2 linked regions of the Oreochromis niloticus genome follow. The main gene of each other region encodes a partner of the protein of the gene in region 2 in a complex. Links are inferred from orthologs where the notes say so. Each region holds a gene or a part of one and is shown on either strand. Other genes may lie near its edges.

Region 1 (10,863 bases), on a different chromosome or scaffold from region 2:
CTTTTGATCACTGCGTCTATTGCCACATAACTCTCCCCATCCAAACACTACTTAGCCTTGCTTCATTCTCTCCATCGCTCACTCTTTGTACCTCTGCTGTTGCTTTTAAGAAATGTTGCCAGGTTTAGTGACTGATATCCCTCTTGTTGCCACCGCCTAAAGCAACACGCGCCCACAGGGAAAGGCTGGTGCAAGCAATGAAAGTATCAGCTCTTGAAACCTTAAACTCCCTCTGCTGTTCATTACCCCCTAATGACGTGCATGCGTATGTGTGAGAGAGAGTTTGCCCTTGAGGGTGGGAGGCTGTCATTGCCAGCTTGCCACATGCAGGCATAAGGAGTGTAATAATAGAGCACAATGCTTTGCTGGCTCATGGTAGACATTTGCAAGTAGTATTCCTTAATAAAAACAACACCTGCTTTTCTATGATTTCAGCCTCAATTATTGTGCTAAATCTTGTTTTGACAACAAGCTATTACTACAATATGGATTTATGCCTTTTCATCTGTAAAACTACTTGCAAGGTCGCTTCATGCTTATTACATGTATGTATTCCTGTATCCCATTCCATCATTAACCTAGCCCCTTTCTCCCCTCCCCAGTAGGTCCAGATGACTTGTACATTGTAGAACCTCTAAGGTTTTCTCCAGAGAAAAAGGTACAGTGTCTGTTGGCTGTGATGGCCATCGTATACAAGTACTGTGTGTTTTTGTAGTCTCAATGAGTCTTTCTAATACGTCTGTTTTAGAAAAGGGAATTCCTTATTTTGTGGAGTAAATGAGATGAGGTATCAGCTGAGCAGTGAAAAGAATTAGCGAAATGCCCCTTAGCAACTTTTTGGCTTGCAGTGTGTGTGTGTATTTGTTTGTACACTGCCAGCTTTATTCGCCTCAAGTTTTTAATATTTTTAGAGAAGCAGATTGAGTAATGTGTTTTTGTTTTTCCCCCTCATTTTTAAATTCCATCATTCCCTTTTGAACTTTCCCACCTTCCTCCGGCTATTGTTTGTGACTTAACATTATTAGATGTTTAGTTTGCTGCTGAACTTTCTTAAATAATTTCTCCATCTCTTATGTTTACCTTGCAGAAAAAACGCTGCAAGACAAAGTCTTTGGACAAAGTTGAGACTCTGAAGGCATTCGATCCTTCTGCTCTCCTCACTAACAGGGATCCCAAGTGTAACGGCTTTCACCCGTGTCTCCCTGCGCCACCATCCTCAACACGCCCCCTTCCTCTTCCTCCTCCTCCTCCTCCCCCTCCTCCTCCCTTGCCTCCTCCCCTTCAACACCCCAGGAGGGCCCATTATTGCCCCGTCGTGCCTCCAAGGAGTTCCCCTCAGAGACTAGCAGCTGCAGCTCGTCCACCCATTCTGAGGAGTCGTACGCTAGCCGGCTCCCCCCTCCCTCTCCCGTCTTCCCCGCTGATGGCGTGTGCAACGGCCACGGGCTTTCTTTCCCCTCAGCCAGCCGGTTGCTAAGTCCCGTCAGGAGAAGCGCTCAACGAAGCGGCGGAAGTCTCGACAGACCGAGCTGCAGTTCCCGCACATGCCAGCGGGGAGCGTTGGTTCTCTGCCCAGCCTGCAGCAGCTTATGAAGGGAAACAAGGAGATGAGTGTCGGGACCATCGGGGTGACAGCCGTCACCGGACATGTCTGAATCCTCACGCGTCACCTTTACACGATTATCTGCTCACACCTGTGCACACACTACACGGTAGCAGACATGACAGACAGAAGAGGTCTTACCACATCCCAAAGAACCACATTTCCCATGAGCACCCAGGCGCACCGTGGAACTGAATTGGCTATGGCAGCAGTAGCTCGACGTCATTCAGTTCTTATTCACTCCTGTCAAAGACCCGTTTACGGTTATGTGCCTTTATATCTGTTCTAGACCTTCTAACTCTTAAAAACATGAAATTTAAACAGTTGTTGATGTGCACAAAAAGACACTGTGATAGGAAGTGAAACACCAAGAAGAGTCAAAACTATTGATGTGTGTTTGAGAGATTTTATTTTATTTTCATTTTTCTACTGGATAAGCACATTTGACCCATGAAAGTGGAGCACCAGTGAATTCATTTCCCCACTCTGAGCACAGTGAGGAGAGGTGCTGGTCTCAACTCTGTGTTCCTTGAAAAGTATTAGGCTGCTCTTTGGGATGAAATATGTCATTATAAAGAGGACTGTGGAGCATGACAAATGACTTCTCTTATCCTTATTTCCTCCTGTCTTTCTTTGCCATCATTTAACCTTGTCCATCCTGCCTTAGTCTCGAAATGACTGCAGGTGTTTGTTTGGGACCAGTGGGTAAAACAGTCTCGTTCTCGCCTTCTGTCTCTGTCAGTTTGTTCCAAACCAACCACGAGAGCTGAATGAAGAAAAGTCTACATGAATGTCTTAGCCCTTTTCTTTTCTTTTTTTAAGTGTCTCATTTAACTTCATAAAACAAATACAGTAGCAGCAGTCCAGCTCCTGTAGACCCTGCTCAGTTAGTTTGGGCTGGGCCCAAAAACGCTGTCACATTAGATTTTGTAACTGATAAAACAGCTCAGAGGCAAGAAGCTGTAATATAATTGTTTCATTACTTTTACAGTTCTTTCATTTGTAACTGAGCCATGTTTCTCTTAGCATTGCTGGTTCGGCTTGTTTGAGTTGCTGTCAGAGCCAGTATGGGGCTAAGTGTTTCCTGTTAAGGGCACAGTTTACTGTAGGGTAACCTTGGATAACGGAGCTGAATGTTTACACACACGCACACCCTCTCGTGGACCTTGCAGATGGGTCTGACAGATCAGCTTTATTTATCTATTTATTTATTTAAATGAACAGAGAATTTTCTAACCTAGTTGCTGGTTTGCCAGTCTCCCAGTCTTGCAGCGTCACAGTGGCTCAATGCAAGTTTGTTACATAGAATTATTACTCAGTGGTACTGACACATACAGTCATGGTGGATGGCTCAAACACATTTGCTTTCTTTCGTTTTATCTTACCTTATAACAACTTCTAATTGTACTCAGCTCAGCCTGAAATATCGGACAGCAATCGCATTTTATATCCAACAGAATAACAGTTAGAGGTTACATGTATGTTAGGAACACGCTGCTGCTTCTGTGTGTGTTCAGAGCTGCTGGAAAGTTGGAGATGCTTTATTTAGGAAGAAAAGAGGCTATAATGATGACTGTAGTACTGTGCTGTCTTCTTTGCGTTTCAGCATCTCTGCTGGATTGGCTAACTGATTTTATGTTACCCTGGCTGTTTTGTTAATGTATATTCAATATAACAATTCAGCAAAAACACTGCAGGAAGTTGCAGATTTGACAGGAGCATATTTGTTTTTGTTTGCTTTTAAAGAATAAATTTAATAGGGTTTTTTTTTTTTATCCCCCTCTCTATTTATGCAATTTCATAAAGGTTCTGCATGGTTGGCGTTGGACATCTTGACAGACAGAATTTTCTTCTAATGCTACCATCCCATAAGAGTGTCATTACCTGTTCTGACCAGCTTCTACTGCTCTTCTTTCCTTACATATCTTTATCCAGAAATGTCACCTCTGACCCCTTGTGCACGACTTCTGTCTGTGACTGTGAAGAAAACTTTAAATATGCCTGCTTTGATAAACCATTCTACCATGTTCCTATTAGCTTCAAATGCTTGTTCATTCTGCTTGCCTGCTTTTCTGTCTAGCTTTTTTTTTCTTGTGCATTCTTACTCTGGCCGTACACTCCTTTTACGTCTTTTATTCGCTTGTCATTGCTCTTTGATGTCACGTGTTTGCCCCACATCGAATGACAGCAGTGGTTTTTGAGGAAGAAATTAATTGTTGCTGAATAAAAGGGAACGCAGTAAAGATTAATCCAATTCAGAACACTATTAATGTGATTACTTATGTTCCAGGAGCGGAGCAAATCCAGAGGGTTTTTTTTGTTTTGTTTTGTTTTTTTTTTAAATCCCTGTTTGAATGTGTAATATGTTTGTGTGTAAACCTGTACGCATGTGAGATTATTTTTTTCTTGTCTCGTGTGTGTGTGTGTCTGTGTTATGAAAAAGACTACTTTAAATCGATTTAAACACATAACACGGCAAACAACAAGAAAGCACTTTGAGAGAAATTCTAAACGCTCAGTGTGCACTTTGTATGACTCCTTATGCCTTTTTGTTTTTCTACCCTTTATGTCAAGTGCTACCTTCTCTCTCTCTCTCTCGCCCTCTCTTTGTCTCTGTGAGTACTCTGAAGAGCTGCACAGTATTTTTGAGCAGGAGTGAGTTACTACAAAAAACTGTAGTGCCATTAGAAACTGTGAATTCTTTCTAAATAAAATGTTTTTGTTTCTTTGTCTTTCATTGGTGTCGTTTCATTTTCTCATTTGATGGATGTTGGTAAAGAACTATGAGATTTAAACAGATTTTAGCATAACTGCTATTTTACGTCTGTTGTCCCTAGGCAGGAAACATTTTAATAAAGAGAAGTAGTGATAGCAGTATACAGATTTGGGTATATACACATGCTTCATTCATAGAACCCCATCCTCAGTTTTAAAAGTAATTTGACAGTTGACTTAAAAAGCAATTAATGGCCATATGACACCTGTTGCTTTGTTCTTTTATGATAAAATGAGTATCAGGAGCGACCACATCAACAATCTGGCGCATTCTTAAAAAGAATGAATACGCTGTCCAGCTCAGCAACACCAAGAAAAACCCTTCACAATATCTAACCAAATCAGGAACACCCTCAAAGAGAGAGGCTTATCCTCAATCTACAATTAAGAGAAACTTTCAAAAATGCAAATACAGAGGGTTTATAAAACGCTGTAAACCACTGGTTACAGAGCAAAATGTGGCGAAGGTAAGGAACACCACATGACAAAGGATACTGCATCATCTGTCAAACATGGTGGGGGCAATGCTGTGGCATGGGTGTGTATAGCTGCCACATTAAGTGGATCATTAGTTTATTGATGTGACTGCTGACAAAAGTAGCACGGGGCTATACTCTCTCCTCAGATTCAGCAAAATTATGCAAAAACCGATCAGACAGCTTTATAGTGCTAATGGATAATAACTCAAAACCGTCTCAAGGCAAATGGCATAGTCCAAGTCAGTGAAGATCCATGAAGAAGGAATAAGGTGGTTGTGGTAAAGGTCTAGCACAGTATCTCAAGGGAAGGGAAACAGATTCGGTCATATCAAAATGCTGTAGATATCACCAAATGTGGATATGCTGCATCTGAAAGGATTCTAAACCTCTAGTAGACAATGAATGTAAGTTTTAAAAGGAATCCTCATATTTAAAGCTGTTTTCTTTTTTCACTGACTTTCAAACCCTCCCCAGGCTTTTATGCCTACTCATTCCTATGAGTTTCTAGGAAATCACTATCCAGCTATATTACGTTGGGGGAAGAAATCTATCAATAAAATATATAATATTACATATGTAATAGCAGTATATGTTTTAATTTGATGAATTAGAAGTCTAATAAAACTGAACATTAAAGTGCACATCTTATGCTAATTATTATTTATTTACTTATTTATCTTGCGGCGAGCATCACAATGATTCGCGGTCTAAAATGAGCCATTTTTACCCCCTCTTACTGCAGGGACAGCTTCCCTTTAGGCTGACTTGCTGCCGCTATTAAACAGAAGGTTTAAGAGTGGGTAGTTGGGGCTGTTGTGCTCATGATATCCTGTAAAAGGTCTCATGACATGACATATGACATCATATAGATCCAAGAGAAGAAATAAGCGCATTTAGAGCACTCTGAAGCCTGAACCTTAGGCTAACAAGGTTTTATTATAAGCGTCCAATATAAATAATAATAAAAAAGCATAATAAGCCCACTTTAAGGTGAATTTAAACCAGAAGGTGGCAGTAAAGCAACATTAAACGTATTAAACGACATCCAGCCACAGGGTGTCGCTGTGAGTCACACTGCCCTCTGTTCTCCTTCAGCGCGCCTTCTCTGTTTTCTCTCAGCTGTTTACGTTTATCGAGTAACATGGAGGACGAGGTGGATGTTGACATTGAAGGAGATGACTTTGATAACAATATTGGGTAATAACGCCTGCTTATTTGGATTAATTGATGGCTGTGCTGTTTGGTGGGCTTCTGTGCTGTGGTCTACGCGAGTTAGCGGTGACCCGGATGTTGGCGCAGGCAGGATAACAGCAGCTGGGATTAGCTCTGTAGGCGGCTGGATGGTGTACGTCTGCTCTGCTGATCACAGCTTCTTTCCTCGCTGTTTTAGGGAGATGGACGGAGGAGGTTTGGTGCAGGAGCAGTTCATGCAGCCTACGGGGAAGAGCAGCGCCTGGATATTGGTATGACTTCTTCAAGCTCAGTTGTTTTTCTACCTGCGTCGGGTGCTCGTGTTGACTCTCCGTCTCTCGTTTGTACAGCCCTGGGAGCTGGACAGCTCCATCAGCCCGGAGAACAGAGAGGTGATAGAGAGGATGCTGCTAGAGGAACAGTATCCTTTTTCTGCCTTTAAACGCACCACACAGTGATGCATTGAGGTTAACTACAGGAATCACAGGACGCAGCTGGGAGCTAATAGCTAATATTAGCCCATGCTGTGGGTAATTTAAATATACAGACAGATGACAAATTAAAAGAAAAAAAAAAAGTAACGCTTGACCTAGTAAATGGAATTATAGTGGGGTAATGTGTTATATGTTATGTTCACTTGTCCTGTTAGTGCACGAGTAACCGAAAACATCTCAACATAGTTTCAACCAGTAGTTACATAGATTTAGATAGTTTAAATACTAGTTTTGTTGCTGGTTATGAAATCAGTTGTCCTTAACTATAATTGAAGATATTACCTGACAGGTAAGGAGATTCCTGACCACATTTGGCACAGTGATGCTCACAAAAACCCCAAAGTGAAAAAGTGAGTGATTTCTTCCATCAGCCTTCACCATGATCGCACTACACTGATTCCTCATTTGCTTGGTATTCATGAACCCCTCTATGTGTGGACATTTAGGTCTCCGGCCAAGAACCTGGCTTCGTCTTCTGGTTCAGCCTCTCGATGGTCCCAACAGGAGAAAGAACTGTTTGAGGAAGGCCTGGTATGCTTCCTCTGCAAGTTAACTTTTGTGTCTGAAATATCATTTCTGTTTGGGAAGGTCGGCCTTTAATGGATTCAATAATTGTTTTAAGTGAGTCAGATTGTGTGTATTGTTCAAATTGTTAAGTTGCTGAGGTGTGTTGTTCTACAGGCTCGGTTTGGTCGAAGGTGGACTAAGATTGCTAAGCTTATGGAAAGCCGTACCGTTCTTCAAGTCAAGAGTTACGCCAGGCAGTATTTTAAACATAAGGTAAACATAAGTCCACCTGGATTATACTAACAGCACAAGACAGATTTCTGTTATGTAAGCTTAATTGTAGTCATCCGCAGATATAAACCTGCAATTTAGTCCAACTACATATGCTCATATGCAACCAGAATGAGTCCTTAGCAATGGTATGTTGGAAAATAAAAGTAAAGAATAAAGAGACTTTCGTATACACATTTTTCAGGCAAAATCAGAACCTGGTCCTGCGGCTCCCTCTGTAGCTCCCATAATACACCTACAACCTCCTCAGCCCACCTCCAGTCAAGTGTCTACTCTTGCCAACGCTGTCCGCATAGAGAAGCTTTCTGACGATGAGGATGAGGATGTAGACATCACTGACGACATGAGTGATGATGAAGAAGGCAATAAACTGCAAGCAGTCCTCAGCAGTGACTGTGGGCCTGAGGAGAAAACAGACTCTGGGAGTCAAAGCCCCACAGAAGAACATGTAAGTTTGAGTGGGGTAGAGAGCATCCAGGAGACGAAGGAGAAACCCAGCCACAGCTCTCTTTCTCCACAAAGTCTTCAACCCTCATCTTTCCCTGGTTGCTCAGAAGATCCTGGAGTAACAGAGCAAGATGAGAAGGTCAACAAGACGGCATCGGTATTTCCACAAAGCTGTCAGACACCACCTCATACAGACTCAAAGGAGATGTTTTCAGCAGGGATTGCTCAACTGGAAGAAGCCTACAGTGATGGAATGGGTGCTTCACACTTACTGTGTTTTGTGTATTTACCTCACAGTCATAGGACAAATTAATAACACACATTTTGATCTCCTAGATTCTGCTGACAAGTTTGAGAAGAATCTAAATGATAGACCATACAAAGACCAGGAGGAGGAGGAGAATGAAGATGATGAAGAGGAGGAGCTGAAGGCCCCTGAACAAGAAATAGAGATGGACACAGAGACCATCACCGAGGATGAGAAGCAGGCTATCCCAGAGTTCTTTGAGGGGCGACCATCAAAAACCCCTGAAAGATATCTGAAGATTAGAAACTATATCCTGGATCAATGGTAAACTAAGCATACATGTTCGATATCTTTGTTTACACAACTTTGCACAGAAAGTGGTTATTACTGTTTTTGTCCACTAGGTTGAAGAGCAAGCCTAAGTACCTAAACAAGACATCGGTCCGCCCTGGTCTAAAGAACTGTGGAGATGTCAACTGCATTGGGAGAATACACACCTATCTGGAACTCATTGGAGCAATCAACTTCAACTGCGGTAAGTCTGTGTCTCTGAATCTTTTACAGCATCTGGTTTTGGTCTTCTGATCTGTGAATTTTTATCTTCTTTTTGATGTTAAAGCTCTGACTTCCTTTTTGTAGAGCAAGCTGTGTACAATCGTCCAAAGGTGATGGACCGCTCCAAGCATAAGGAAGGCAAAGATGTACTGGAGGCCTATCAGCTCGCCCAGAGGCTGCAGAGCATGGTAGGTACCCATAAAGCAATAGACGCTGACACTGGAAGCATTTAAATTTTAAGCATGCCAGAACTTGACTTGTAACTTCTGACTGGTTGTAGCGAACCAGGAAGCGGCGTGTGCGGGACATTTGGGGGAACTGGTGTGATGCTAAAGACTTGGAGGGACAGACATATGAGGTATGGACACTGCACAACAACTTTTAATCAAATTACGACATAGATTGTTACTAATGATGTTTACCGATTCTGTGTTTTTTCTTTATCAGCATCTAAGTGCAGAAGAATTAGCTCTACGGAGAGAGGAGATGAAGAAGCAGCCTAAACCTTACAAAATGTCCAGATACCGAGGGTGAGCACAGTGGACTGATGCAAAATGTACCAAATTATAAACACAAGGAGGTTTATGATGTGGATGTTTATAATGCCACTCTATCCACCAGCTCTTTTGACCCCTTCCAGCTGATTCCCTGCAGATCTTTTGAAGAGGATATAAAGGTCAGTGATCATTCTTATCAAGATTTTTCACCGATACACTGACTAACCACACCACTTTTAAAAAAAAAAAACCCCTGAAAAATCCTGGATGTGTCTGTAGTTGTCGTGGCCTCCATTGATCAGGCTTGTTCTGTTGCATCTTGCAGATACAGAATGGATACTAGACTATTTGTCTTGTTTCTTGAGAAATTCTTCAGGAGATTTTTCAATGTAATTAGTCCAACTGGGGTAGACTAATGAGGAAGTGCCATTTTCATGGGGATGGGGAATGCTTAATCTGCAGTAAATGGGTGGTACATGTCAAAATTACATCCACATGAATACCACCACAGGACTTCTAATGGTGCCTTTGCTCCAATTGAAAGCACACATCCCAGGTTAGGTGGGCAAAGCTAAATTCAGTGTGATGTCAGTGTGTCTGTTGTTGGCCCTGTGATGGACTGGCAGACTCTCCAGGGTGCTCATTGCCTCTTGCCCTATGTCAACTGGAATATACTTCAGCCCAGCCTATGTTGGATAAGGAGTTAAGAAAATAGTAGGTGACTGGATTATTAGATATACCTTATATTATATTTTCTTCATTTTTTTTGTTCCATAAACTAAGAGGATCCTTTCTCCAAAGTAGTCATCAATTATTCTAAGCTGTTCTTTACTGATCACCCTAGGAACCATTCCAGGTTATAGTCTGTGCTGAGACTCTTCTCATCATGGATATGGTATGTTATACACACAATCACAAGCTGATTAGTTTTTTTCATATATGTACAACAGGTTTTACCTATATTGACAGATAACTTTTCTGTAATCAGCATGCACACGTGTCAAGGGGGGAAGTCATTGGTCTGCTAGGTGGAACTTTTAATGAAGAAGCAAAAGTATTGAAGGTAGGTCAAGAAGTCTGAACCAATGTGACAAACAGGATAAAACTTTTAATAACATTATATTCAGAAAAATATATTTTGTGACTAATAAATCTGTGTTTAGATCTGTGCAGCAGAGCCATGTAACAGTGTGAGCACAGGTCTGCAGTGTGAGATGGATCCAGTGTCTCAGACACAGGCCTGTGATGTGCTGTCATCCCTGGGATTCAGTGTAGTGGGCTGGTACCACTCGCATCCCTCCTTCCACCCTAACCCTTCACTGCGAGACATAAACACGCAGCACCAATTCCAGGTAAAATTGACTGAATGAAATAAGTTTGCACCTGACTTACTTGTGAACTTCTGGTTTTATTTTCACTTCTGGTATTATTATTATTTATTTATTTTTAATCTTTCAGAGTTATTTTTCACGTGGTGGAGCCCCGTTTATTGGGATGATAGTGAGCCCATATGATCCAGCTAACGCCTCCCCCCACTCCCAGACGACCTGCTTATTGGTAAAAGAGAACCAGGAGCCTTCAGGCCCCCAGAGTAAGTCTAACACACATATACATGACTCAAACTTCAAAACAGTTAAGATCAAGAGGCTTTGAAATCAAGCTGACAATGTAGGTCAGTGATTTTGTGTACGCAGTAACACACTTTATCCTCTGGCTCAGTCTCTCAGCCTCTGTTCCTCCCCAGAGCTGCCGTACAGATTCGACTTCCTGTCATCAC
Region 2 (10,955 bases):
ACCGTCACCTCCTCCAGACCCTTCACCACCACGCCGCGCTGCGGAGGCAAACACAGACACGTCAGATTCCCGGAGGTTTTCGCAGCGGGCGTTCGTTTCGTCCGAGCTGTGTGACGCTCACCTTGTTGCGAGGGTCGTCGAAGAGCTGCAGCCGCTCGCTGACGTCCTCGGTGGGGCTGAGGAGGTCAAACAGCTCCTCGTTGTAGATCTCCAGCAGCGAGACTTTGACGGAGAACTCGGTGCCGTTCTCGGAAAGCTTTTCAAAGATCTGATGCAGCGTGCGAGGGATGATGCCGGCCAGCGGGTCCTAGAGACGCAAAAACACGGGAATTTATTTCAGCGCTGACCATTATTCCACAATAATTAACATTTATTTAAGCGCACGTGCACAAACAGAGCTGTGGTGACGTTTGTCACCCTCGTTCGTTGCCAATTGTGAAACTTGTAAATAAAACATGTTTTATTTTGGTTATTTGACACATTAACACATCTGAACTGACGATAAAAAGCTGGCTGCATGTACGCAGTATCCAATAACATCCCCCCTCAAAAGTACAGCTGACTGGTACTGCATACTACCCCTCTGCAGGCTTCCAGAAACTGGCCAATAAGATGAACGAGGGCTTGTAAAGGATGAGCTGAAGGCCTGTACGGAGACCCAGCACAAGACAAAGGAGGATTATTACTAACTATGAATCAAGCAAAGCTGCTCTAGTGCAGCCTGAGGCTAAAATGAGCAGCAGGTCTGAGCAGCTACTGATGATCTGAAAACAAGACGTCCAACATCCACGTGCATAAAAACGGACACGGGGAATTATTTAAAGCCAATTCATGCACATTCAGGATGGATGCAGTCAGACTGATCACAAAACTCTGAATTTTAAAACCTGAAAATGTTTATTAATGTTAGATAGTCAAGATGTTTCCCCTTCCTATACTTCGTACACGCTGCTGCAGGATCAGTTCATTCACACTCTGTGGTTCGGCTGAATTAGATCCACATGCAGGGTTTGGGTCATACAGTAAACCAGTGAGCCCACTTCAAAGCCGAGCTCACCTCCTCCCAGGTGAACTGCTCGTCCGGGCTCCTCTCTCCCTCCATGGTGAACGTCTTTCCTGTTCCCGTCTGACCGTAGCTGTCATCAATAAAGAAAAAAAAAAAAAAAAAGATGGAAACAAAAGAGATTACAAACCGGTTCATCCGGGACGGCTCACGCCGACGCTCGCATATCTGCGCAGCACTCACGCAAACACGGTGCAGTTGTATCCCATGATGACCTCGTCCAGGATGGGACAGACGACGCTCCGGTACACTTCGATCTGCTTCGCAGACGGACCGAACACCTGAGGGAGAGAAACGCTTCGGTCAGAACAAATAAATAGAAATGACCGTGAGCTCATCGCTGGACCAACAGCAGGACACACAGCTGCAGCAATGAGCCAATCCTCATCGAGAGACACTAAGAGCCGCTTCTGATTTGAACGCAAGTTTTGTTACTTCACCTTAAGAACGGACTAAAGTTTCCTGGACTCTAATTGTGGGGTTTCAGTTTTTTAGTCTGACACAACAAGTCAGCTATGTAAGTATAAGCCAGATGTGCGAGCACAGGATGCGCCGTGTCCATTTCTCCTCTCACCATGTCGAACGTGTAGGTCTTCCGTGACGCCTTGTCGTTCATGCCTCCCGTCCTCACCATCACCTCTTTCCGGTTTTGATCGCAGTCGATGACGCCGTAGGACGACTTGCGCTCCATCGTGTTGAAAGGCCTGAAAACGCAGCAGAGGAAAACCTCGGTGACAAAGACTCGACGCCTGAGACATCTGCAGCTCTGCAGACATAATAATGAAGCTTTAACATCAGCTCGGGCGCACACGGTCCTGTTTTTAAAGATCACAGCGCGCCGACACCAAAGCTTTGACTTTGGCTCAGATTAAAATCACGGTTTGAGTTTCTGCTTCTTTCTGTCAGAGCAACGTTCATTTATTTTTTTGAAAAAGGTCCCATAATAAAGATTTACTGCTTATTATAATTAAAATACACACAGGGTTTGTGCACATACTCTGAGCTACATATGAAGACTTCTAAAAACACATTAATGCTCGTTTAGGTTCAGATAACTAAAGAACACAGACTTAAGTATACACAGATCAATGATGCTCATCCTCTGAGGCCTCAGAAAACCAGACTACATAAAGGAAATCCATATAACATTGTGAGCTTATCATGAACAACGAACCAGACGATGGACAGCAGAAGGAACAGATGAATTAACCGATTTAGCACAAATATGGGATTTAAATTAGATCAGCGTCTGCAGGCCTCAAAACATCTTTAAGACGTTTCTAAATATCATCTTAGACTCAAAATCAATAGTTTTTCCAACCCAGCAGACACTGATGCACTGAGTGGATGAAAGACGGTAAATTCAATATTTCTGACCTAAAGTTTTAGTGCAGAGTTCCTGTGCCGTGTTCTGAGCCTCCGCCACAGACTCGCCTGCACGGGTACGGGAAGATCAAACCGCGATTATGACGTTACGGACGCTTATCTCACTCAGTGTCGGTTTCAGAGCTGGTACACCGCAAACCAAAAATCCAGAGATAATCAGTTTCAGAAACTAAAAACATCGAAGCTTCTTTAAAGCTCCTCTATCTGAGCCATCAGTTTATTATCTACCCGAACCATTTCAAGCCAACTTTCTTCTGACTGGCTGCCCCTCAACTTGGTGGGCGGGGCTTCTGTACTCTGTGACATCATAGAGAGATGGTAAATGGTAAATGGCCTGCATTTGTATAGCGCTTTTCTAGTCCATAGGACCCCAAAGCGCTTTACACTACATTCAGTCATTCACCCAGTCACACACACATTCACACACTGGCGAACTAACGAGCTAACGGTACCAAAAAAAAAAAAAAAAAAAAATGTTGTGAAGCTGAGTGTTTAGTGCCAACAGAGGGGCTGATGGATTACCAATTTTCTTTTCACACTAATAATTGTTAAATGGAAACACGTGGAAGACGACTCCAGTAATCGGATCGGGACTACAAACCCATGTTTGTGTCCAACGACACAGACAGTCACACAAATCTAAACTTTCAGGGATCAATTAACAGCCAATAAAACTTAGAGAGCTAGAAAATAGCGAACAGCATCCAAAACACCCAAAACCTATTTAGTCCGATGTTAGTGCTCAGTGTTTGACATGTGCTTGAAATATTTGCATCTAGACAAGCGGGGGCGTGTCTTTGCTCCACCTGCTGGGTTTTTAAAAACTTATTACACCTTTATTCTGCCAAACCGATGTGTAAGTGAGAAAAGAGAAGGATGGTTTTATACTCATTTTTTTCACCTTGGGTTTTAAACCTGTTAATACAGGTTGAAGTACAATTAAACTGGAATGAACAGGCTTTCACTCAGTCGTGGAAATTCATCCCGAATGCTAAAAATGATAAATTACCAAGAGGTAAAACACACGCTTTAAGGTCTCTTCTAGGAAAATGATGAATAACTTAAAGATCAAATACATGAGCACTGGGATACTGAGAGACTCAAACATGTGAGGCTAGTATGATGGTTATGATTGGATGTCCCATTTCCATGCTTTTCCTGTATTTTTATAATCATTTTGCATTTCTCTGTGGTTGTGCAGGTATTTTTGCATCATTTGTGTGCACATTTCTGGATTGACTAACATTTTAACACTTTAACATTTTAACACACCCATAAACATAGAAGAAAGTAAAACAGAAAGACTCAGATTTTATTGACAAATTAGGCGCCACATGGGTTAGGGTTCCCTCAGAGGGTCAAATAGTAACTTTAAGACTGCAAGAACTGCTGATTTTTCCACAAGTAAGCTCAGGGTAGTGTTCTCATTTAGTTTCTGAGACTGTAAAATGTCAGTGACCTCTTTTTTGAGACATCTGCAAGTAAAATTTTAGCCTTTTTAAGGTCTCTTCCAGGTAAATACACCCACTGAGGGCAGTTGAACCAGTGAACATACAGCTTTAAGGTGGATTTGGTGCTGTTCCTGCACTTTTTGCGATGTTTTGAGGATATTTACGATATCTGGAGTATGTTTGTGACTGACAGCAGCAAACACAGACACAGCTGAAACTCTGTTTAACTCCTTACCTGCATCTGACCACCACCTGGATGTTCCTGCCCTTCTCCTCCCGTTTCCCTCCGCTCTGGACGTTTGAAGACATGGCTCCGAGCTGCTCCCGGACACCGTTATATCACGCACTTCAGATTAAACGGCACATAAATGAAGCAGCACAGTCATCAATACAGAAATAAACAGCAGGGAGGCGGTTTGTCCGCTTTAAATGTGACGAGCCGAAAGAAAAGCGACAAATAGCATCATAATGTTAGCTAACGAGAACTTACCAAATATCGGTTTGCGCGTCACTTCCTCCCCCGCTGCGGGTTATCCGATTATAAATCCAAAGTCTTCGATATCTTAATAAATCGTGTAATTCAGCGTTTACGGGCTGCTCTGACAGCACAGGCCGTTTTCCTACAGCTTCTCTGGCGCACTAAAACCTCCGACAGGACACTTTTCAAACTGTACTTTTAAATTTTCATCGGCCAATAGCAGGAGAGTAACGGTCACTACGTGACCGTCATTGGGTACCACGATCATGTGACACTGCCATCGCAGAGCATCACGGGAGCAGATGTGATATAAATATCGATGTACGTCCAGCAGGTGGCGACATTGTTCTGAGAAATATTTAATTAAACGAAAACAAACATGATTTTTATTTATAATTATAAACAACTATTAGAGATAATAACGTATTTTTATGTTCCCAAATAAATAATTAGACTTTTACATAAGATTTTTGATACTTGATTCGTGTTTCTTTCAATTAATTAAAAAAGGCTGAGTTTCATATGGTTAAGCCTGGAAGTGACCCGAATGATGCTGGCGGCTTCCCATGATGCACTGAGTGTTTCTTCATGCGGTCATTTTTGAACGTCTTTGAGGTTGTTTGTCTCTTTTAGGCTCTTTGACTATTTTCTTCTGTTTATTTTTCACGTTTTTCGTTGGAATTAAGTATCTCTTAATGATTGTTGTGTTCCTTTCCTTAATCAGAGACTTATCATGACCTTTGCACTTTCTCCCCTTTCATGTCGCTTGGATTTCTGGCACTTTTTGTTGACTTAACAAGATCTTTTTATGACTCTGTGTCACTTTTATGTTGTTTTTATGTGTTTGATTTTAATCTTTTTGTTCACCTATGTCATTCTCATCTCTTTGTGTTCTGTGGCTCTTTTTGCTCATTTTGCATCTTTTGTGTGTTTATATTCATTTTGTTCCCTCAGTTTTGCTTCTTTGTGGACATCGTGTGTTCACTGTGCAAAGGTGTTGGTCTCTATGGTTATTTAACCTAACATCACGTCTTTGGTCTGTGGGAGGAAAACCGACCACGTGAATGACTCGATCGTTGCATTGAATATTTTGATGTGTTTCATTATTTAAGTAGCATTAAAAATTTCAAGCTAAATAAAAGTCCAAAGACACCATAAATCACTTTGTGAAACAAAATGATCCTTTAACTTATTATCATTATTATCATTATTCATGTGTTTGTGTCTTTTGTGGGGACTGTGCATTATTTTTTTGACTGTTTCAGGTGATTTTATGACTCTCTGAGTGCTTTTTGTCATTTCTCTTCATCTTTAACGTTTCCTTCTAAGGAACCTTTTGATTATCTCATGCTCAAATGTACTTAAAAATCATAATAAGTGCTTCATAACATATGGTAACACACACAAATGGTTTTAAATCAGACTAGAATGCGTAGAAAAGAGAAAGAAAGAGAAGAAATAATCCAAAAACATGATGTCACTGATAGACTTCACTCTCCGCCTCCGTTCCAGGTTCATGAAGTGACGGCAGGCGAGCAGCAATCCATCTGCTGAGGACCATCCGCCCACTCGGCCTCCTGAGGACAGCGAGGGGGTTGCCCTTTTTGCTCTGGAAACCTCTTCATTGCACACACAGACACACACAGCTTCCCTTTGTCTGATATCTTACAGTACATCCAACTCACAGCGCTGTTGGAGGTCCTCGTTGCTGCTCCGGTCGGACTCTGCAGCACCTCTCGCTTCATTTTTCACTTCAGCAGCTGCAGAGTGTAACCAGAGACTCGTTTATTTGGACTAATAGTCACAATCCTGCTACTTTAGAGAAGCTTTATTGAGCCATCTAGGCATGGACGACTATCGTGACTATAAGTCTGCCTACATCCTCATGCAAAGCACGGCGAGTTTGGTCATTTCAGCTCCTTTAAATCTCTGCTTCTCTGTTCTCAGCACAAGTTAAACATCTCTAAGACTCAAACACTCTTTAAAGAAAGTAAAAATCATCTGACCTAAAGAGCTTTGTCCCTGCTTTTGTTGAAGAGAACAGTCCAACTCAGATTGGAGTTCATTGTCGTGGAGACTGTCTCCAATGATTTTTCTGCTTGTCTGATCAGACACTCTTAGCTGTACATGTTAGAAACATGTTGGCTGTAATCCATAACCAGAAACCTTTTTTCCTGCACAGGAGAAGTTAAACGGTGCAGGTCTGGTGGTGCTGAAGAGCTGCACAGGGCACAGGTACCAGCACAAGGTGACAAAAAACTTTTTTAGGTGGACGAGTGAGTCAAGCGCCAAGGAACACAGCACTAGATCTACAACAACAGCACAGAGGAGGAAGCAGCGAACAGCAGGCGAGAACCATCAGGTCAAGTCAGAGAAACGAAGCCAAACTCACCCAGGACACAAAAGAAAACTGACCTTCAAAGTAAAACAGGAAACAACCAAAAGAGACCAAACACAAGCATGAAAACTAAGACAGTAACACAGATACGACACGGGGGGGGGAGGCACAAACTCGAGACACTGATCATCATCTGGACAGGAAAGTCCACCAGAGCCTGAAATTCCACAATATCACCAAAAACCTCAAACAGTGAAATCAGAACCATAATCGAAACTCCACAGCAAAACACCGAAAACCAAAATGACCAGAAGATTTACAGTCTTACACATTTCCTGTACTCCAGGATTTTAAAAGCAGTAACACTGCACATGACAGCAAACAAGTCAGGGACCTGAGAATGTGCCAATGGTACTCTGTGTGCACTGTAAAAGCTGCAAACGCTAATGAGTTGCATCACCTTAGGTAAGAAGTTCAGTCGTACATTTCTTAATTTTAAGATTTCTGCTCATGTATTTAAGGTGAAGACATTTAAATTAATACATCTGAACAAACTTGGTTCTAAGAAATTAAAAACATACAAGTTTTTTGATACTCAAAAATCTTTTGCAATGTTGCCATAATTTTTTAACTCATTAAACACTGTGCAGTTTTTTTGTGGAAATTTTTAAAGTTTTTCATATCAAGATTTGTCAACATTTTCTCTAACCAAAATTACCGTCTCCATAAAGTCAGCAGACGATAAGTGTACGTCCTAAAAATCTGTTTTTCTATCGTCTAAGCAGAAGCAGCTCCGGATATTTCAGCTGTGCTAAAATCAAGCAGTGAGCTAAAAATGAAACTATTATTCTATATCTAATATATTAAACACAGATGAGGACATTCAAAGAAACATTTCCCCAAACCAGCCGAGTAAAAACATCAAAGGCACATTAGCTAACATTAGCTAATTAGCTAACATTAGCTAATCTAGAAGACAAAGGTCTGTAAGTTTCTCTAACTTTAATCATATTTCATATATATTTGGTAATAATTTTGATTTAAATTATTATGGAGATGAATAAGCACAAGATAATGGGGAATTTCATTTGACTACAAAGTCATATTTTAGTTTAATATTGATTGTTAAGTAGAAGTAGAGGCTTTAACTAGCTGCAGGCTAATTCCTGTGACTTCAAGCCTAGAAATAAATGTTTGCTTGTTTGTCTTCACTTTGTGGATTATATGACGTGCACGAGGACACGTGTGACGTGACTACCAGAGAGTGTTTTCTAGGGGACAGCTAACATATCACAAAATGTGCAGTTACTCATCTGAAAAATTGTTGGGTGTGGTTAACCACTTCCTGTGTTGAAACAATAAAAAGTATCAAAACACATAGCTCACTGCAGAACATAATAATAACATAATACGTATTATCGGATTACGTTGTGCTCCAGGTGAACATACAAGTTAAACTGTCACAAAACCAAAACAGGTGTGGACATGAGTATCTTCCCACATGTTCGCATGCGCATGCGATGTCATGACGCACAAATTTGTGTGATTATGCAACTATGTGTACATTACCAGAACACCCCAATTTTCCCATTTTTTTAAAATTGAAAATGATGCAGTTTAATGTCTCATTGCACTCTGAAATTAAAGGATTGTACAAATAAGCAATTGAGTTAAAAAAGATATCATAGAATCAATTTATGGACCAACATGTGTTCTAAACTTCTGACTCATTCATGTAGCCACCTTAGGCAGCTGAACACACCCATAAAATTATTTCTACAATAGAAATAAAATATTCTTCAGAAAATTCTTCCCATATCTGTTGCACAAGTTCCTGTAAACGTTGACACCTGTCGGTTGCTTTTACTTTTCTGTCCAGTTCATCCCAAACCAGCTCGATGGGGTTTAACCTAAGACCCAAACTCTTTCATGGCATTTTTAATTTCTCTTTGCTATTTGGGCTGATTGGGACCTGATGAATGCAAAAACAAAGAATAACCTGATAATTTTATTTGTTTACCTGATTTTTGTTTTTGACAAAAATGAGATCCAGGACATTTGTTTTAAATAGAACAGAGGCAGTTTAATGTCCTCGTAAGTGGATATCAAGCTCTTGTAGAGTAAAATTCAGTATTTTGGTCCAGACAACCCAAAATGTGATGTCCACATATGTGGACGCCAGGTCCTAGAAGGTTAAATCTGGAGACTGTGCTGGACATTCCATGTTTACAAGCTCACCATCTTCTACTTTTTCCTGAGGCAGTTCTGGCACAGCCTGGACTTGTGTGTTGGGTCATTATCTTGCTGTTGGATGAACCCCTCACCAACTAGGTCCATACTAGAGATGGCACGATACCACTTTTTTATGTCCGATACCGATACCATAAATTTGGTATTATGGTATCATATCGGTATTGGCGATATGAATCCAATATAGTGTATTTTTTAATCAATAAAACTGTTTTTTTAATATCTTGCTGTTTTTGAATAAGTTCATACTCAAGTTAAAAAACAAAACAAAATACTAAAGCTATTCTGTTATACCTGTATGCAAAAAATACACAGCATCCAAATATTTCATAGTTCAGCAATACTGATCAATCTAATAAACTTAAACCTGCACCATCCTTCCTATTCTGGTATTCTAAAGAGTACTTAGCAGAAATATTAAGCAACCTAACTAATAGGGTTGCAAACTCCCAGCAAAAAAAAAAAAAAAAAAATAGGGAATCACCCTCCACCTCATGATGCTTAATCGACGTAATCAACTTTAATTTGATGCAGTGTGAAAAAAAATACACAGAAATCAATGATTTTTCAAGAATAATTAAATAGATTCAACATCTTTCTTCAACAGAATTGCAGAATTCACAGATGGTACCTTCCCAAAGGAAAAAGTACTATAGCTTACTAGGGTATATTAGACTTAATAGTTACTATATACAGTAATGGACTTCTATACATTTTACATCAGATTAAAACTTTGGGTGTAAGGTTCAGATAATTATTTATTAAAAGCTAGACATTTTAAATGAGAATAAGAAAGAAAAGTATGTCTTTGTGCCCCCTTTTCCCTGTTCATGCCCTATCGGCCCCCCTGGCTACACTTTGCTAGATCCGCCCCTGCACAGGTACGTCAGCTACGTAGAAAAGGATCCTGGTGTAGAAAGTAATATTAAATACATTCTAACAACAGCTTATCAAGCTTAAACGTGCTGCTGTTGTTTCCTCTTTCTGGCGTGAAGTGGGCCAAAAACAAACAAGAGAGACGGACTGGCGACAGAAAAGCCGATCAGCTGATCATTGATCAGTTTCATGATTGAAGTAGCAACAAGAGAGGGAGAGAGAGAGAGAGAGGCAGTCGCTCCATATATCGGTTGTTAAGCTTAACATGGGAACGCTTTACAAACATTCAGAGATGAACTTACACACTTGCTTTACTTCTCTCTGGGATAACTTCCTCGGAGATGAAATGCTGGTTTGGTAGCGAGGCTACAAATACACACAGCCGCTCTATCACGTGAGCACACTGCTCCGACGTGCTACGGTTATGAGGCGAGTTACGCCGTGTCGCAAGTTTTCTGAGGTGCTTTTTTGATATTTAATGGATCGATTACATTTTGTATTTCTCTCCGATATCCGATCCAGTAATTTACGTCAGTATCGGACCGATACCCATACGTAATATCGGATCGGTCCATCTCTAGTCCATACCAGAGAGTATACACACTTCTTGGACCACATAACACTCTCCTCTCTCTTCCAACACTGGCACTATTCTGTATTATACTGTTCGACTCTGAGTATTGTATTTATTCTGTGTAATATTGTATTTATTTATTCTCATTCTTTTCTATTCAAGTGCAATACTCTTGTACTTATTCTTAGTTTATCTTATTTCTGTATAGTTGTACAAATGTATATTTTAATTTTTTCATTTTATTGTTACAGTTTGCACCTTTGATCCAGGAGGACGATATTTCATCCCACTGCATACGTGAGTCAATATTGTTGGGTTAATAATAAATACTTGACTACTGCATGGTACTGCAGGATGCTGTGGTAGCTGGTTTGGTTCATGGTGTCTCTCACTGTGTACAAGTCACCGACCCTGGATCAGCAAACAGCCCCAGACCATCACACTGCCTCCTCCATGTTTGACAGTTGATGCCACACACTGTGTCTTTGTACTCGACGGCGTACAAAGATCCTGCATAATGAACCTGTAAGTAATCCAGA

Evidence for each region.
Region 1: kif11 (region 2) and mysm1 share a complex: the UniProt entries of both Homo sapiens proteins name them as parts of the large chromatin remodeling complex. The link is inferred for Oreochromis niloticus from reciprocal best matches to the Homo sapiens genes KIF11 and MYSM1.

Annotation. Positions count from the first base shown.
Region 1 is NC_031986.2:38,664,203-38,675,065, reverse strand, and holds the start of mysm1 (histone H2A deubiquitinase MYSM1), read left to right. Parts: upstream 1-5,931; 5' UTR 5,932-5,998; coding exon 5,999-6,054; intron 6,055-6,247; coding exon 6,248-6,320; intron 6,321-6,398; coding exon 6,399-6,469; intron 6,470-6,817; coding exon 6,818-6,892; intron 6,893-6,988; coding exon 6,989-7,073; intron 7,074-7,223; coding exon 7,224-7,322; intron 7,323-7,524; coding exon 7,525-8,044; intron 8,045-8,123; coding exon 8,124-8,358; intron 8,359-8,438; coding exon 8,439-8,569; intron 8,570-8,673; coding exon 8,674-8,777; intron 8,778-8,869; coding exon 8,870-8,947; intron 8,948-9,036; coding exon 9,037-9,119; intron 9,120-9,210; coding exon 9,211-9,265; intron 9,266-9,930; coding exon 9,931-9,981; intron 9,982-10,074; coding exon 10,075-10,149; intron 10,150-10,249; coding exon 10,250-10,438; intron 10,439-10,544; coding exon 10,545-10,677; intron 10,678-10,830; coding exon 10,831-10,863. Other genes in the region: suco (SUN domain-containing ossification factor), read left to right, coding at 603-658, 1,088-1,477. UniProt on the Homo sapiens protein: Metalloprotease with deubiquitinase activity that plays important regulator roles in hematopoietic stem cell function, blood cell production and immune response.
Region 2 is NC_031978.2:1,174,216-1,185,170, forward strand, and holds the start of kif11 (kinesin-like protein KIF11), read right to left. Parts: upstream 4,590-10,955; 5' UTR 4,391-4,589; intron 4,247-4,390; exon of another isoform or gene 4,219-4,246; 5' UTR 4,210-4,218; coding exon 4,136-4,209; intron 1,768-4,135; coding exon 1,638-1,767; intron 1,345-1,637; coding exon 1,247-1,344; intron 1,137-1,246; coding exon 1,058-1,136; intron 308-1,057; coding exon 122-307; intron 39-121; coding exon 1-38. UniProt on the Homo sapiens protein: Motor protein required for establishing a bipolar spindle and thus contributing to chromosome congression during mitosis. Required in non-mitotic cells for transport of secretory proteins from the Golgi complex to the cell surface.